Oryza sativa Japonica Group: one gene and its partner. The protein of the gene in region 2 interacts with the protein of the main gene of each other region in a pairwise test. Links are inferred from orthologs where the notes say so. Each region holds a gene or a part of one and is shown on either strand. Other genes may lie near its edges.

Region 1 (4,054 bases), on a different chromosome or scaffold from region 2:
AGTTTGAAGAAACGTACGCGCGGAAAACTAGACTAGGGAGTTGGATCCAGCTCTTGCAAATATAGCCATAGACATGTCGCCACCGTCGTTGACCACTCCCCTTGCACCGTCATGCTTGTTTGCTCAATCAGACGCTATGGAGAGCCCCAAGTCCAATGCTTCAAATTCAGCAGTGGATCCGATACCGGTTACATCCACGGTCTCAGGAGGGACCGATATGGCGTGTCAATGATTTTTGTTTCTTGGATTTGGGGAGTTTGTGTGAATTTTGTCAATGTTTTTTTTAAAACTGACTGTGTATGTTGAATGTGAATTTGATGTGTACTAAATCTGATTGTAGGCTGTGATTGGATTTGTTTTCGGTTTTTTACACCAAAAATCGTTGACTAGTTGGTCTTAACCTAGTCATATGTGAAGATCAATTTTCACATACCGCTGTCTTAAAAAAATCCTCCGTAAAAATGATGATTTTTATGGACCTTTTATTAGAAGAGGTCGTCCGAACCGTGCCTCTCAGTCGATTAATCGATTTTAGCCGCCTGTTTAAAAACCGTTTTTTATAGTGAACCTTAACTAACGCGTGCGCTCATACAAACACAGCTACGACATACCTAACTGCTCTAGAACGCAGGTATACGTGCCCCGCCATTAGCAAGTCACACGAATAGTATAAGCAACCTAGGTCTCTTTCTTTTCTCCGATAAGAGTTAGATAAAGATTAAGATTTTCGTGCCGCGCTTTTCAACTGTGAAAACTTTCTATATGAAAGTTGCTCTAAAATATAATATTAATCTATTTTTTAAGTTTGTAATAATTAAAACTCAATCAATCATACGTTAATACCATCTCATTTTACGTAAAAAAATTTAATCTTTCATCTTCAGAAGAAAAGAACACCACCGTAGCCATCCATTTCGCCATATATAGATTGCTCTTTCATTTCCCGATCGGTTGATTAATTTCGCATGCGTCGCCTTTTGAAATACTATGCAAATTATGGATGCATGTTTGCAATTGGGCCGGCACGAGTTAAGAAGAAAAATGGGCAAACTAGTACTGGTGCATACACAGTGGGTTTGAGAATGACATGGACGCTTCTAATATTTCCGGGCCCTTTTTACACATGGGCGCCCACGTGGCCTTCCAAACGCGCTCAATCCAATCATCCAAACCGAAAAATAAAAAACCCAAACTTTTTTATGCAGTAGTAGTAATTTTCAGAAGAAAGAATGAAAATAAAGGAAAAAGGCTAGCAGAATTGGCTTGGCTCGTCAAACCTTTGGAGTGCGTCCGCGTGTGCGAGCTGCGCCCGTGTGATGTGGGCGGGTGGGTGTTCGTGTCTCCGCTTGTCTCCCCGCGGCGCCCTCCTCAAATATTCTCAACTCCCCAACCAATTCATTCCCCCGAGCTGAGCTGAGCTCTCATTCCTTCCTTCTCCTTTCCGCCGGCCTCGCCTCTCGTCTCCTCCTCTCCCCTACCGATACGCACGCTCGCTTGCTTGCACCTCGCGCGCGAGAGACGAGAGAGAGACGGCGAGCCCTGGCACGCACGAGAAGCGAATCGAAGTGGCGGCGACAGGAGCAGCTGCTGCTGGTGGATTATCCGTCGTCAACATGGCTCAGGAGGACGTCGGTCACCTGAGCGACGCCGGCCTGGCGCTGGGCCTGTCCCTCGGCGGGGGAGGAGGAGGGACGACCGACGCGGCGGCGGCGCACCGTGGCGGCTGCCGGCGGCCGTCGCCGTCGTCGCAGTGCCCGCCGCTGGAGCCGTCGCTGACCCTGAGCTTGCCCGACGACGCGGCGGCCGGCGCGGCCGCGACCGCGACCGCGACCGCGTCCGGCGGGGGCGGCCCTGCGCACAGCGTGTCGTCGCTGTCCGTCGGCGCGGCGGCGGCGGCGGCCGTGAAGAGGGAGCGCGCGGAGGAGGCCGACGGCGAGAGGGTGTCGTCGACGGCGGCCGGGCGTGACGACGACGACGACGGGAGCACCCGCAAGAAGCTCCGGCTGACCAAGGAGCAGTCCGCGCTCCTGGAGGACCGCTTCCGGGAGCACAGCACGCTCAACCCGGTACGTCACGTACGTCCGCGCGTTCTCCTTACGTTCTATTGACTTGCCGCCGCTTAGCCTAGCTGCAGAAAGCTGCACTTGTAGTAGAACACAAGGAGCAAATTAAGATAAAAACATGGCGCATATTAATTTGTGTTTTGTTCATCTTTTTTGATCGAATATATATGGGTCACTGAACCACCGCTTTTGTTTTGTTTCTTCGAGCAGAAGCAGAAAGTCGCTTTAGCGAAGCAACTGAACCTCAGGCCAAGGCAGGTGGAGGTCTGGTTCCAAAACAGAAGAGCAAGGTTAGTATTTTTCATTTTTCGCGACTTTTCTTTCCTCTTCGAGACCAGTATTTTGCAACATGTACACGCGCCAGTGGGCACATATTTGCATCACGTATATATACATATCCTACTACTTTTATCTCAGCAAGAACCTTCAGCGTCGCTTTTCCTTTACGTAATTCAATCATGCATGCATGAGACAAGGATTATGATTATCTCCGTGTGTAGAAAACTAGAAATATTTTGAGAGTGCAGTGCAGTTTGTGGCTGTGGTTGATAACCATTTATCGATCGGTTCGTTTACACGCGTATACTACTACTCCATGCAGGACAAAGCTGAAGCAGACGGAGGTGGACTGCGAGTTCCTGAAGCGCTGCTGCGAGACGCTCACCGAGGAGAACCGTCGGCTGCAGCGCGAGCTGCAGGAGCTCCGCGCGCTCAAGTTCGCCCCGCCGCCGCCGTCCTCGGCGGCCCACCAGCCGTCGCCGGCGCCACCGGCGCCGTTCTACATGCAACTCCCGGCCGCCACGCTCACCATCTGCCCGTCCTGCGAGCGCGTCGGCGGGCCCGCGTCCGCCGCCAAGGTCGTCGCCGCCGACGGGACCAAGGCCGGCCCCGGCCGGACCACCACCCACCACTTCTTCAACCCCTTCACCCACTCCGCCGCCTGCTGATCCGATCCATCCATCCTCATGAATCTGCAGTTCGATCGATCGATCGATCTGCAACACCAAACAGACATAGCACTGCTGCTGACTGCTAGCTAAAGCTTAGTACTACCTCACGTCACAGGTAACATATACACGTGACATACATGGCGATTGGCGACATGATCATCATGCATCATCATCCTCTCCTTGAGCTACTGTTTCTTGCCCTGGGGGATTCCAGCTTCCATTAGCTAGACAGTCCATCTCAGTCAAATCAATCATAGGCTTAATGATAGGATTAGTCAAATTAATTATAGCCGGGCCACAGCTAGTACCCGATCAATGTATATTTTTGTGCATGCATGTAAGTATGTAACTGTGTGCCCCCCTCTCATCACTAGTTAGCTTTACTTTTCTTTTTTGTTTCACAGGCTAGTTAATTTTCAGAGGGGATCATCATGGGGCAGTGCAGTAGCTAGATAGATTAAGCTTGTATACTAGCACTACTGATGGATTAAAATTCTTAGATAGTGTCACACACGCACAGTGTTGGATCGGATGACGACATGAGCTAGCTTAGCTAGCATGCCTGCCTCCCTCCTGTTCGCTCGGCCCTGTCGGGTGCGTGTACATGTGTTTACTTTTGTATGGATATACGTCTCAATGATTGTGTGTGTCGGGGCTCCCCAACTTCAAAAATTTATTGAGTTGCCATCGCTTTCGCCTCTCTGCTGATTATTGGTTAATCAGGAAGAGAGAGCGGGACTTCGCCCTCTCGTCTCATCTTTTTGTTTGCTTAATTAGGACTTGAGAGCGGTAGCTAGCCATCTGGATCTCTGCTCTGCTGCACGCCATATTAATTAACCCAAGGCAATTTTAACACGTACGGCCACACCACCACTCGCGATCGACTCTTGCTGCGGGTACGTAGCACATACATGATCGGCCGGTTGCACGTACTGTTGGACACTGACGGTTTCCGTGCGATCATACTATAGTAGTAGCTAGTTCGTTGAGTAATTACTGCACTTAGGTATAGTCAGCGTCGAAGCTAGTTGCCCTTGCTAG
Region 2 (4,152 bases):
ATCGAACAAAGAGAAGCGCCCACAAATACCTTGATACAGTTTGGAGTTTGGACTCTGCCACAAATGTGTAACAAAGTGGCCAAAATGTGAAATGTGCCTCGTCAATTTGAACCGATTTAAGCGCAATTTATAGGCTTTTTTAATTAAAAAAAAGTTCGGTTGACGTGTTTGAAATGCAATAACACTACAAGTACTAGTGCAAATGTGCAATGATGTCCAATTTTTGTTTGTATGAAGGAAAATATTGATTTCAGGAATTGAAGTGATATGACTACTGGTAGAGTGGAAGTCATAATTTTGAATGTTGGCGATAATTCCAACTTTGTGGAGTACTCCGTAAACATCTACTACTATTGCACTGGTTACGGCACAAGGTGCATGTGCTAGAATATCATTTTTTTTCTCTTTTTCTTTCATTAATTTGCTATTGCACAGTGGCATTTTACAAAACCTTCTCTACCCTCAGAAAATGAATAAAAAGTCTCTAGGATTCCCAGAAGATAATTTCACCATTGTCGCCAACTAAACCAATATCCTTGAGTCTCCGTTCTTGGTAGTACTCTAGGCCATCCAGTTCCTCCTCCCTCTGCTTGAAAATGTCATCAATCTGCTGTAGCACTTTCTTCTCACCGGCCCTGACTTCAACGGCAATTTGAAGCCTTGGCTGAAGATTTTCACTTCCCAACAGTTCTTCGTCCTACATATATTTTGACATGTTTCGTAATACTAATTTGGAGATAATAACATAAAAAAGAAAATGAACAATGCTTATTCGGGTTATAAACATACCTCTTCTATGGTAGTGTGGTAAGCACCAAGGGCAGATTTGCAGGCATTTCGGATGACCTGACATATCGCTTCTTCATTATCTTGACTCACTGGCAGTTCAAGGTGGCCCCAAACAGCATTTCTGAAGAGTGCTTCCAAGAGAAATGCATCTGTTCCCCCAAGGCAGAGTAATCGCAGGTAAGGTAGCATTTGAGGAGGAAGAGATTCACCAAGGACAATATCAAAGTATGCAGTCTCCCCCATCCCATTTAGCTCTGCAATGTCAAGCTTGTCATCATAAAATGGATCAGATTCAGATATCTCCAAGGTCAGAGTATATGCATCCCTTGATGAATTTGATTCGGTGAAACCATAATCAAGCGCTAATTCTGCGTTGCTCTTGTCCAAATCATACTGAATATATATCTGTCAAAACATTATTTAGTATATAAATGTTGTCAGTGAACAAAAGTCACAGCTGCACAACTATATGATTTCCTTAAAATGAATAAATGGGAACTTGTACCTGTTCTCCAGATTTAACATTCACCGGTGTTCGCAAAGAAAACACAACATCCCTACCAAAAAGACCCTTTCCTTTGATCTCCCAACTGGACTCTTTTGAGGTTATATCATCGCTGTGATTTACCTGGTTTGGCAAAGCACCAAAATGATTAGAACATAATGGTTTCCCAATATTTTGGTTGGATTTGTATTATATATCGAGGGAAAAGTATTGAAAGAGCATATTATAGTGTATAATAAAAATATTCTGAACGTTTTGGCATGACAAATTACAGGCATGGTTTCCAGTGGTATCTATTTTGCAAAGATAAGTCGGTTCACAGCATGTTGGAAAAGCAAATAGAAAATGCAGGCATGATTGCATTTCAAGATCTTACAAGATCAGCAAATGGTATGAGAGCAAGCTTATCTCCACGGAGCTCCGCAAACACCCGTGATCTGAGTATGCCGAATGCCCATAGGAAATCATTGAATGTTACAGTACCAGGAAAGAGCTCCCTGTTCTCGCTTATGATCTCAGCTTCAACACTCTCAAATTCACTCTGCACATACTCCTTCACACCCATTGTTGTGCTCAGTAACTGTGTTCCTGCAAGGAACAAAAGCATACAGATTTCAACAAAGATACTAGCAACCAGTATGAACAAAACGAGCTCGCTTTGTAATTTAAATTCATGGATTTTGAACTTTTTGCAATGGACGCCCACCTTGTATCTCCAAGAGCTCTTCTTCTGACCTGCACTGGAGGCACGAAGCAAACCACTCAAAAGCATCAGCACGGAGAGGAATGTGAGGTTAATCGTGATGAACCACCCAAAACAAAAAGGAGCATTTCGTCGAACACATGAAGAGCGATGAGCGATCAGCATCACCTCAACTCACCAGAAGATGGTGGAGTCGGTCTGGCGCGGGAGGATGGCGAGGTAGGGCGCCCACGGCGAGCCGGCGCCGCGGGCGGCCTCGCGGAGGAGAAGCAGCGCGACGGCGACCCAGGGCCTGAGCCCCCCGCGGCCGACGGCGCCGCCGAGGTCGGAGGCCGCGACGGCGTCGGCGTCCAGCCAGAGCTTCTTGGGCACCTCGGCGAGCACCTCCCCGCGGGGCAGGTCCCGCGCCGCGACGAGGCCGAGGCCACCCTCGGGGACGGCGGCGGGCGCCGCCGCGCCGGCCCCCGCGTCCGCGCCGTGGGACGACACCCAGCGCCTGAACTCCTGCAGCGCGGCGTCCGTGGGCGGCGGCGCGGCCGCGGTCGACGACGACGTCCCGGCCGCTGCGCCGGACGCGGCCGCGCGGCGGGGGAGCGGGCGCCGGAGGCGGAGGCGGGGAGGCTGCGGGTGGACGGAGAGGAGGCGAGGAGGGAGGAGGTGGTGGTGGTGGATGGCAGCAGCCATGGCGCGCAGCCAGAAGGCGGACGAGAGCGGGGTTGCGGATTAGAGGAGACGACGACCGTTGGTTCCGCGCGCTCTTGGGGGACTATGGATATGAACAGTCGCTCACAGCTGCTCCGTCAAGACCGTCAAGGCCCTTTTATTAGTTTTAGGCTTAGCTTATTTGTTTAGAATTTTAAGTTACTAGTTTATTGGTTTGTATATGATTTATAAACCGATGAATTTAATGTTTTAAGGTTAGTGATGAAGTTATACATCTATCTCACATAAGAAAAAAAACTTCTCCAACCAAGTTTTTGGGTTAACAGTGTTAGAGTGGCTTATGATTTTAAAAAGACATTACTTGTTTGTTTAGTCTTAAACTTTTCGGTTTATAAATTGGCTTATAAGCCTAAATAAAGAGGGTCTAAATTCTGCTTATCGGTGTCGTTAGCTCAAAGCAAGCTACGTACCAGATTTCATTGAATAAAACAGAAGTAAAAAGTTTGTATAGTCGTGAAAGAAAATATCCAAAAAAGTAAAACTGAGGATGAGCTCCGACAGACGTTTCACTCCAACTGAGTTTCACCTTCCTCCTTGATTTTCACCACCCACGCCATTTCCGTTGTGGAGAAGTTTACACAGTAGTATTATGGTTCAATTCAGGCTGAGATCAAGTACTTCCTCCGATTCATATCATAATACTTTCTAGCATTATCCACATTCATATAGATGTTAATGAATCAAGATATATATGTGTATAGATTCATTAACATCTATATGAATATGGACAAATGCTAGAAAGTCTTGATTCATTAACATATATATGAATATAGACAATGCTAGAAAGTCTTATAATATGAAACGGAGAGTAGAACTTATGCTTTCTAAACACTGAGTTGACTGAATATAAGTGTCATCGTCTAAAAGCTCTTGACATTCGGGAGATTCCCAGGACAGCAAGCCAGCAACAGGAAACCACATCTACAAATGCTATGTTACTCGGGATAAATTGCTTATATGGCGCACAAGGTTTACGCATTTTCTAATTTTCAGGCAAGACCCGCCTTGTCGTAAGAGGAGGAACCATCCAATTAGAGACATAACAATAGCTAACAAGATGCCAATTAGATAAGAGACACAGACAAATGCTAAATCTCAGCATATCCCAAATAGATGTCATGCTTGACACCACAGGTTACTTACAGAAAGCACAGTTTTTCAAGACTCTTTCAGAGAGCATTAGAAAGGCTAAACATAGAATATGGATGCCCGTCATTCAGTGCTTATTAAGTTGACAGAGACACGAGGCATCTGCATCTTGTATAGACTGAGGTGCTTCTGTTCCAACCTGAAGCAGACTGATCAGTTCTTCCTTCCTTCACAGAGGATGAAGTGGTACCCATGCCTGAATGTAAACAAACAATGATCATGTTAACTGGTTAATGATGAGGCAGGCGATTAATAATCTAAAGGTGATAACAGTGCAGGCTAA

Evidence for each region.
Region 1: the proteins of fructose-bisphosphate aldolase-lysine N-methyltransferase, chloroplastic (region 2) and homeobox-leucine zipper protein HOX19 interact in binary tests that used the Arabidopsis thaliana proteins (3 or more experiments, as listed by UniProt). The link is inferred for Oryza sativa Japonica Group from reciprocal best matches to the Arabidopsis thaliana genes LSMT-L and HAT22.

What each region holds. Positions count from the first base shown.
Region 1 is NC_089037.1:6,978,765-6,982,818, forward strand, and holds homeobox-leucine zipper protein HOX19, read left to right. Parts: upstream 1-1,247; 5' UTR 1,248-1,613; coding exon 1,614-2,075; intron 2,076-2,273; coding exon 2,274-2,353; intron 2,354-2,664; coding exon 2,665-3,010; 3' UTR 3,011-3,660; downstream 3,661-4,054.
Region 2 is NC_089043.1:18,985,111-18,989,262, forward strand, and holds fructose-bisphosphate aldolase-lysine N-methyltransferase, chloroplastic, read right to left. Parts: upstream 2,805-4,152; 5' UTR 2,682-2,804; coding exon 2,176-2,681; intron 2,030-2,175; coding exon 2,001-2,029; intron 1,883-2,000; coding exon 1,671-1,882; intron 1,418-1,670; coding exon 1,295-1,417; intron 1,195-1,294; coding exon 790-1,194; intron 698-789; coding exon 485-697; 3' UTR 382-484; downstream 1-381. Other genes in the region: uncharacterized protein, read right to left, coding at 4,023-4,065. UniProt on the Arabidopsis thaliana protein: Protein-lysine methyltransferase methylating chloroplastic fructose 1,6-bisphosphate aldolases. Can also use with low efficiency gamma-tocopherol methyltransferase as substrate, but not a cytosolic aldolase.